2 linked regions of the Sus scrofa genome follow. Each later gene encodes a partner of the first gene's protein in a complex. Links are inferred from orthologs where the notes say so. Each region holds a gene or a part of one and is shown in the gene's direction. Other genes may lie near its edges.

Region 1 (4,243 bases):
AAAAAAATGGGAAAGGAGCAGAGGGGGGAACCTAGGGAAATAACAGTACCTGACTCTTAGGATTAGAAGGCTGGGCGGGGCGAGGTAGATGGGAACGTTTCACCTGGGGAAATTTTCAGTCCCCCCTGCTGAGAATCCTCTGCAGGTAAGACTGTAACGACCACAGGTGGCACTTGGCTAGAGGGAGCGGTGTCAGCGTGCCTGGAGCCAGATAGGAATTCGAATCTCAGTTCTGTTGTTTACCAGCGGTGGGACCCCCGGCAAGTTCCATCACCTCTGCATGATCATTCTGCTCACTACTAGATGGAGACGATGGTAACGAATGGGGTTATTACGGGTCGCAAATGAGGCTTAATCCATGTGGTGAATTTACAGCAGGACTCAGCACGCAGTAAGTGCTCGATAAATATTAGCCATGATCCTTCAGGCTAGATGATGAGTGGAACTTTCTAAGCGCTAGGTTTGAGAGCCTGGGACTCCGTTACCAAGGGAGATGAGAGACCCTTTTCAAATATGGGAGCTCCGGCCCCAGGGATTGTCCAGAACCAGAATCTTGGCGCCTGCCTTCCCTCCACGTCACTCCTCTGACTCGGGGAAACCCACCCCCTGTCACCGGGGGGGCCTCGGCCCCTTGAGCCTCCTGCTAGTCCACGTCTCCCGCGCTCCTCCCCAGGGCCTCCCTCCCGCCGCTCCACACCTGTCAGCCGCCCTCGCAGCTTCCCAGGGACCCGAGCCCCGGGCCTCAGCTGCAAGCCCTTGGCGCCCTGGGTCCTAGTTCCCCGAGCCTGGCGTATTCCTCCCCCGCTGCTCTCGTAAACAAAACCCAAGCGTTGGAGCAGCCCCGCGGCGGACAGGCGCAGGAGCCAGCTCGGTGCCCTGTGAGCGCGCCCCGGGAGCCCCGGGCGGGCGGAGGGGCGATGGTGGCGGCCGTGGCGGCCGCGGCAGGCGGCTCAGCTTTGTTATGAATAGATGAAAGAGGCCACCTACACAGTAACCCAAATTACGAGACCTCCCTCCTCCCTATCTCACCGAATCAAGAGGGGAGGGGAGATGGGCGTGGAGGGAGGGCGGGCGGCCAGAAGGCGGAGGGCGGAGGAGGAAGAGGATGAGGAAGGGGGCCAGTTGCATCCCACTTTCACAATGGGAAAGTGAAACGCTCAAGCGCACCCAACCTCTCCAGCCCTCCCCGGCTGTCTCGCTCCCCTCCGCCCGTCCCCTCCCTTCCCCTCCGCGCCTCCCCTCGAGCGCCAGCGCTGCACAGAGGAACTCTCCGGAGAAGGAGGGCGAGGAGGAAGCGGCGCCAGAGCGCGCAGGGCTTGCAGCCGCCGCCGCCGCCGCCGCTGCTGCTGCCACACAGGCTGCCGGAGCGAGCCCGCCGCGCGCCGCCCTCCCCGCTCCCTTTCCCCGGCGAGCCGCGGGGATGGGGCGGCCGCAGGAGCCCGAGCGCGCGCAGGAGCCGCCGCCGCCGCCGCCCGCGTCTCCGTCGCCGCGCGCCTGAGCCGCCGCGGTCGCCGCCGCGCGCCCTGCCCGGGGGCGGCCCCCCCAGCCCCATGGAGCTCTCCCGGAGGAAGGCATCACCGCGCCCCCCGCGCCGCGCCGCGCCGCTGCCCCTGCTAGCCTATCTGCTGGCGCTCGCGGCGCCCGGCCGGGGCGCGGACGAGCCCGTGTGGCGGTCGGAGCAAGCCATCGGAGCCATCGCGGCGAGCCGGGCGGACGGCGTGTTCGTGGCGAGCGGCAGCTGCCTGGACCAGCTGGACTACAGCCTGGAGCACCGGCTCTCGCGCCTGTACCGGGACCAAGCGGGGAACTGCACGGAGCCGGTCCCGCTGACGCCCCCCGCGCGGCCCCGGCCGGGGAGCAGCTTCAGCAAGCTGCTGCTGCCCTACCGCGAGGGGGCGGCCGGCCTCGGGGGGCTGCTGCTCACCGGCTGGACCTTCGACAGGGGCGCCTGCGAGGTGCGACCTCTGGGCAATCTTAGCCGCAGCTCCCTGCGCAACGGCACCGAGGTGGTGTCGTGTCACCCGCAGGGCTCGACGGCCGGCGTCGTGTACCGCGCGGGCCCGCAGAACCGCTGGTACCTGGCAGTGGCCGCCACCTACGTGCTGCCCGAGCCCGAGACGGCGAGCCGCTGCAACCCCGCAGCGTCCGACCGCGGAATGGCCATCGCGCTCAAGGACACGGAGGGGCGCAGCCTGGCCACGCAGGAGCTGGGACGCCTCAGGCTGCGCGAGGGCGGGGGCAGCCTGCACTTCGTGGACGCCTTCCTCTGGAACGGCAGCGTCTACTTCCCTTACTACCCCTACAACTACACGAGCGGCGCCGCCACCGGCTGGCCCAGCATGGCGCGCATCGCCAAAAGCAACGAGGTGCTGTTCCAGGGCCAGGCGGCCCTCGACTGCGGCCACGGCCACCCCGACGGCCGCCGCCTGCTGCTCTCCTCCAGCCTGGTGGAGGCCCTGGACGTCTGGGCGGGCGTGTTCAGCGCGGCCACCGGAGAGGGCCAGGAGAGGCGCTCCCCCGCCACCACGGCACTCTGCCTCTTCAGGATGCGTGAGATCCAGGCGCGCACCAGAACCTGCAGCTGGGACTTCCAGGCCGAGAACCACTGCGTAAGTCTTGCCTCTCCGCCCCCCTCCGTTCCCCGGCCGCGACGCTTCGGGGAGCGCCCGGGCAGCTGAGCCGCCGGCGAGGCAGAGAGGGAGGGAGAGGGTGGGCATTTCGCGGGGCTCTGATCTACACAGCCTGCGGGCAGCCCGACGGCCCTTCTCGCGTGGTCTCCGAGACCTCGGGTGGCTCTAAAGCAGAGGTCCCCAAAGATGGTGTCATGAAGGGAGGTGGAGAGGGTAGGAGTTCGGCTCTACAACTCTGCTGACTCCAGCCCACTGCCCTCCTTGTTCAAACGCTTGTTTGGGTCTGAGCCTCTCCAGGCAGCTCCCCCGCCCGTCCCTGATCGCTTCCTCAGGTGTGTGTGGTCTGTGTTAGTTGGCGTGTCGTTTGGACCCTTTTCCCCAACCTGGTTTCCAGACGCGGTGCCCTAGGCAGAGAAGCCATGGAACCTAAAGGACTTGCCACACCCCAGCCTTTGTGCCCCCCCCCCCCGAACACATGCAGTGTAGTCTCGGAGAGTTGGTAGCCTGCTCAACACGGGTCGGTGGAACCAGAGGCTCAGGCTGGGGGGAACCGAACCCTCGGCGAGACCCAGCGCGAGGGGGCGGGGCTGTGGCTCTGCCGAGGGCGCGCTGTGGTCTCTAGCTGGGGGGAGAGGCTGGGCAGGCGGAGGTGGCTTTGTGGGTAAAAAGCCTCACCCTGGAGGGGCGAGCAAGAGAAAGTGTTGGGGTGTTATCGTCTCCGGGCTCCAGATTGCCTGACTAGATCGCGGGGCTCAGAGGCACCACCCAGCCAGGCAAATGGCAAAGGTTTCCCCTGGGTTTCCAGGGAAGACACAGCTTGACTCTTGAGATTGGCGTCTCTTTGGAAAATAAAGCGGCCGTTCAAGAGGGTCCAGTTGATGGGGATTATGGAGCCATTGTGCACTTCTCCGAGGCCGTTTTCCTTCCAAGGCTGCTGGCACATCAACTCCACATATGGCTCCTGAGAGGAGAGCCTGCTGAGCGCCTCCTTTATAACTGGACAGAAATCCAAGAGCAGAAATTAACCGCTACAGGTGTTGCCATTGTTTTGGTATAAAATGCCTCAGAGAGGAAAGGGGGAGAGCCTCTACTTGGAAAAACGTGTTTTGTTGATGCAGTTGTTGTGTAAGCATAGATGCTTGCTCCAAGGTGTATTACTAAGTGCGTGGAAAAGCACTCCCCCCACCTCGTCCCCCTAGAGCACATCTGAGCAAACAGTAGCCCTGTCATCCGGAAAGAAAAGACAGGTCTTTCCCAAGACCCTTTAGAATGGCCATTGGCCTCTTCCTCCTCGCCCATCCGTTGTGTGCTGGGGCACACAGGTAATGCCCGCCTTTAGGTTACTGGTAGAATAATTTGAAAGCGTAAATAACATGTAATGCTCCCTAAATGACTTCATCTTGAGATACAAGTACAATTTAATATTTAACATCTGTCTTTGCAAGATCCTGACTAACAGTTTGAGTTTGGCAAAAAAAAAAAAAAAAAAAATCATCATCTTTGACTTCACTGGTGAAAGCTTTGGAAGTCCCCCCACCTATTACTGTGTGTCGAGCGTTAGGCAGACTTGGTCTCTGGGGTTAATGACAAGACAGCTCGGCGGCCCACAGCAG
Region 2 (4,291 bases), on another chromosome or scaffold:
TTCAGAGCCAGAGGCTTGGGTGTAGGCCTGAGGAGGGGCTCTTCACCTGTCCACAGCCTCCCTCCCTTTGGGGCAGTGTCCCTCTGGGCCTCATGAAGCTGTTGGCCCCATCCAGTGAGCCAGGAACTTAGTCCTGCATGATCTCTGGAGCCATCTTGATTTCGCCTTTTGGCCTGTTGGTGTATTTTGGTGACACTTAGGGAAGCAGGAGGGGATAGCTGGAAGCAAAATATGGAATGGTAAGGCAGAACTTCCTGATGATAACCTCTTCTTGGCCATGGAGCAGGGCAGAGGTTTGGAGCTGGAGCTGAGGCCAGGACAGGCTGCTCTCTGTCTCTGGTGGTGTCTGCAGCGTGTGACTCAAGTCCAGCTAGGTCTGTGGGTCTTGAAGGCTGCAGTGCACCTCTGCTACTTACTCCTCACCCTGTCTCTTCTCTGTGCAGTCCACCTGGGGGTAAGCATCCAGTAGGCACTGGATAAGTGGATTTTTTCATCCATGGTTACCTTGGGCAGATGCAGAGGTGGGTCTGGGACCTCTCTGGCTTGAGGGAGAGAAGACTCCTTTAGAAAGGCAGGCACATGGCTCTGAATAGGTGAGCTGAAAGCAGAGCTGCCTGGGCTGTTCAGGTGACTGTAGAGGGACTGGCCCGGACCCTATGCAGGGGGTCATGGTGGGGTCATCAGGCTGCCTGCATAGCTGAGCACTAACTATGCATCTTGTGGGCAGAGATCCCTTAAAGCTGGTCTGACTGACTCTGCCTTCCCAACAGTGAGTCCTGGGCACGCAGGATGCTCCCCTCTCTTTCTGCTTGGGGAAGGGGACTTCTTAATTATATCCCCCTCCACTCACATGGAAATGAGTTTGGATTTTCTGAGCACACACCAGCTGGCTGGGGGGGAGGCAGCCCAGAAGGCTGCTGGCTGGGGAAGGGAGGAGAAAGGCGGGGAGGGAGCCAGGCCAAGATGAAAATTCCGTGTTCTCACAGCTGAGCAAGGATGGGGCTCTGAGTGCTCCCTACAGATTATCGACCTTCTGCCCAAAACCCACACCCCCTCCTTAGGGGAAAGCGTCTTGTTCCTTCTTATAGGCTCAGAGGAGCCGTGTCCACTCAGGTCAGCCCATCCTCTGAGAACCACAGCCTTCAGAGTCCACTTAGCTGATCATTATCGAGGTTGTCTGTTCCCTCAGGAGAGGTCCTCTCTGACTTCTAGGCCAATCCCTTCCTGGGGTGGGGGGAGTAAATCTAAGGCCTTGAGAGGGGACAGGACCTGGCGCCGATCACAGGAGACCACAAGTCTGTCTTGCTCCCCTTCCCCCAGGTTATCCCCGTGGAGTTGCCCAGGAAAGGGGTGTCGAAGATTCCCCTGACAGCGGTCACTGCTTTACCCCTAAGCCAGCGGGTGGGGAAGTCGGAGAGGGACGGGGGAGGGGCGGGGTGGGGTCAGGCGTTTGACTCCGCCTCCTCTCGTTGGATCTGCCTGCGGTCGGGCGCTGGCTCAGTCTCGGCTGCTCTCCGCCGTTGCTCCGGGGCCGCGGGATGACACCGCCTCCGCCCGGATGCGCCGCCCTCGGCGCCCCGCGCGCCCGCGTTCCCAGTCCGCAGGCTCGGTCCGGGCTCCCGCTGCGGCTGCTGCTGCTGCTGCTGCTGCCGCTCTGGACGGCCGCCGCCTCTCAAGGCCACTCGAAGAGCGGACCCCGCATCTCTGCTGTCTGGAAAGGTAGGTGGCGCCGCGCTTGCAGCGCGGCTCGAGATCCGATGCCGCGCGGGGCGGGTGCGGAGTGTGCAGCACTGGAGAGAGTGCGTGCGCGCGGCTATGCAGGTCCTGGGCTGTCCCCGCGGATAGCGTGTGGGTCTGGGTGAATGTGTGAGTGTGCCCGCTGCCACGCCGGAGCGGGCTGTGACGCTGCGGCGAGCGAGCGGCAAGGGCTGGAGCCCCGGCTAAGTCACTCCAAGTCCGCCCGCAGCCGGGAGCCGCAGCGCGGGGGTGCAGGGGGGAGGGAGAGGGCCCTTCTCTCGGCCCCGAGGCGCTCTCAGTCCTCCAGCGCTGAGGCCTCTGTGCAGAATCCTTTCTCCTGCCGGGACCCCCACCCAGCTCCTCTCTTTCTGAGCTATGGGCTCCGCTGTCGCGCAGGGCGCAGGCTGGGCCGGCAAGGGGGGCGCGGACCCTTTGCCGCCGCCGCTGCGCTCCGGCTGCGGGAACAAAGACCCCGCTGCCTGCCCCTGCCCCCGCCCCGGCCCCAAGCGCGGGCCGGGTAAAGGGGTGGGTACCCTGTAGTGAGCCGGGACGTGGCTCCGTGCGGAGGCTTCAGGCACCCCGGCGCTGCCTCTGCAATGCTGGGACCCGCCGCTCCCCCCTTGTCCGCACGTGGCAGTTGTCACCAGGAATCCGAGCCAGCATGGGGGGCAGTGCCAGTTGGGTGGGGCGCGGCCACTGGGACCCCCAGGTAGGGGATCTGGCAAGGGGCTGCAGCTTTTAGGCCCTGGTGGATATGTGAACTTGGGGGACCGAAGTCTCCCCAGGGGCGCCTCAGTTTAGATCACTGTACAATGGGTCAAAAAGCTGGCTGGGTAGGTTTTGAGGTTTTGTGTTGCAAGGGACTGAAGTTCCCTGCATTGCACAAAAATGCTTCCCCACCCCCAGGACGACTATGCTCTGTCCCCAAATTTGGCAGGTGCTGCAGCCCCCCTGTGGTGGTGGTGGACTGGCAGTGGGGGTGGGAATGGTAGGTCTGGTCTCTCTGGGAGCCTTTTGATGCCTGAGGCGGTTTGCAGGGATTGCAGGAGCCTGAGCATTATCTGGGGCAGGTATTCTTAGCAGAGAGAGAGGGGGAAAAAAAACCCAAAAATGAGTGTCCTGAGCTGCGGCTGCAGCAGAGAGACTATGACTCGCCCAAGGTCACTCTGCATTGTGTGAGCTCACAGTGCAGACAGGGGGCTCTGATCTGGCACAGGACCGGTGCTTGTTCTGGGTTAGAAAGTGAAGAAAGATTTAAGCAGTATTTTGATCATGAAGAGGGTACTCTGAGGGCCAGCCCAGCTACCCAGCCAGAGCTGATCCTTGTGGTAGTGGAGCAGGGCAGTTGGACCTCTGGCGATGCACCTACTCATGGTGGTCACTTGCAGACCCCTCAGTTAGACCAGCTCCAGGCTGGGCTTCTTCTGCCTTCTTGGCATTTGCTTTTTCTTCTTCCTCTTGGTTGTCTTGGACAGCACAGCATTTGTGCACTCTGGAGGGGATGAATGGCCATGTCTAAATGTTCTGGAATCTGCCCCTGTGCCAAACCCCTTGCATTTGGCTCTGCTCACCCCCATCCCCCAAGTCTTCCCAAGATACCCCTCCACACACAGATACTTAATGCACACCCACCTCTTAGCACTTAATGCTGCCTCCCCAGCTCGGGCACTTAGTCCCCACCCTGAGGCTATTTAAAGCTGCTTTCTGTCCTGTTACCCACTTTCCAAAGGGCTCTTTCTCCTGCATGCAGTCACCATTGTAGCCACACTGGCTGTGCCCTCTGCTTGGTAATGCACTCTTGACCCCCACTGGGGTCTTCCAGTCCCTCACCTGTCTTGTCCAAGGGTGTCTGTAGTCTTCTTCACTGGTGCCAGGCACCCCACTGGCCAAAGAGACCCTGCCGTCCACCTGTTCCCCAGGACCACCAGCTGGTAATGGTATGCCTAGCTGACAGCTGCCTCTTATTTCCTTTGGGATGACACATGGCAGTCAGACAGGAATGGGTTTGAGCAAGGCAAACCCAGGAGTTGGATGAGAGGAGGACCCTCCCAGCCTTGCTGTAGGCTGGTCCCTGTATACCAGTGGGTTGAGGGGATGGGATAGTGGCCTCCAGGAATGTCTAGATCAAGGATAGTGGTGGTTCTGGAGATGATTCTCCTTGAGGCCCAGATTGGGGTTTTAGTTATAAGTCAGGACAGGTGCGAGGACGAGTGGATATGAGGGATCGTCTCTATTATTTTCGGCTGCTTGGACCCCCTAAGTCCTAGAGAAAGATTAGATAAAGGAGTTCTGAGAGGGTCCCAACCTGCCTGAGGAGGTTGATGCCTCTCCAGCCTGATGAAGGCCTGGCCCAGGGCAGCTCTGGTCAGAGGGAGGGGTGCCCTTGAGCTCTGTACTTGTCTCTGACCCTCAGAGCTTGCCAGGGCTCTAGAGGTTGTCCCCTCAGGGTTGTCACTGCCACATGGGCCAGTCACAGATGTGACTGTGTGAGCCTGACCTCCTTGCAGCAGGTGAGGGTGGGGGTTGACATGCTTATGTAAATTGTGTACCTCTC

What was found.
Region 2: the proteins of PLXNC1 (region 1) and SEMA7A are in contact, whole or in part, in a crystal structure (PDB 3NVQ), measured with the Homo sapiens proteins. The link is inferred for Sus scrofa from reciprocal best matches to the Homo sapiens genes PLXNC1 and SEMA7A. Residues at the interface, in NP_005752.1 of Homo sapiens: Arg131, Thr151, Glu152, Val153, Asn195, Pro196, Ala197, Ala198, Ser199, Asp200, His201, Thr203, Ala206, Lys208, Arg213, Ser214, Leu215, Ala216, Thr217, Gln218, Glu219, Leu220, Arg222, Lys224, Glu272, Ala350, Ser352, His353; in NP_003603.1 of Homo sapiens: Gln194, Tyr196, Asn197, Gly198, Lys199, Arg202, Arg204, Tyr213, Ser215, Asp216, Thr217, Gln270, Gly271, Gly272, Glu273, Ser274, Ser275, Leu276, Val278, Ser279, Lys280, Pro372, Thr375, Glu376, Phe378, Gln379, Asp382, Arg383.

Annotation. Positions count from the first base shown.
Region 1 is NC_010447.5:89,053,033-89,057,275, reverse strand, and holds the start of PLXNC1 (plexin-C1), read left to right. Parts: upstream 1-1,438; 5' UTR 1,439-1,550; coding exon 1,551-2,609; intron 2,610-4,243.
Region 2 is NC_010449.5:59,093,433-59,097,723, forward strand, and holds the start of SEMA7A (semaphorin-7A), read left to right. Parts: upstream 1-1,486; 5' UTR 1,487-1,538; coding exon 1,539-1,719; intron 1,720-4,291. UniProt on the Homo sapiens protein: Plays an important role in integrin-mediated signaling and functions both in regulating cell migration and immune responses.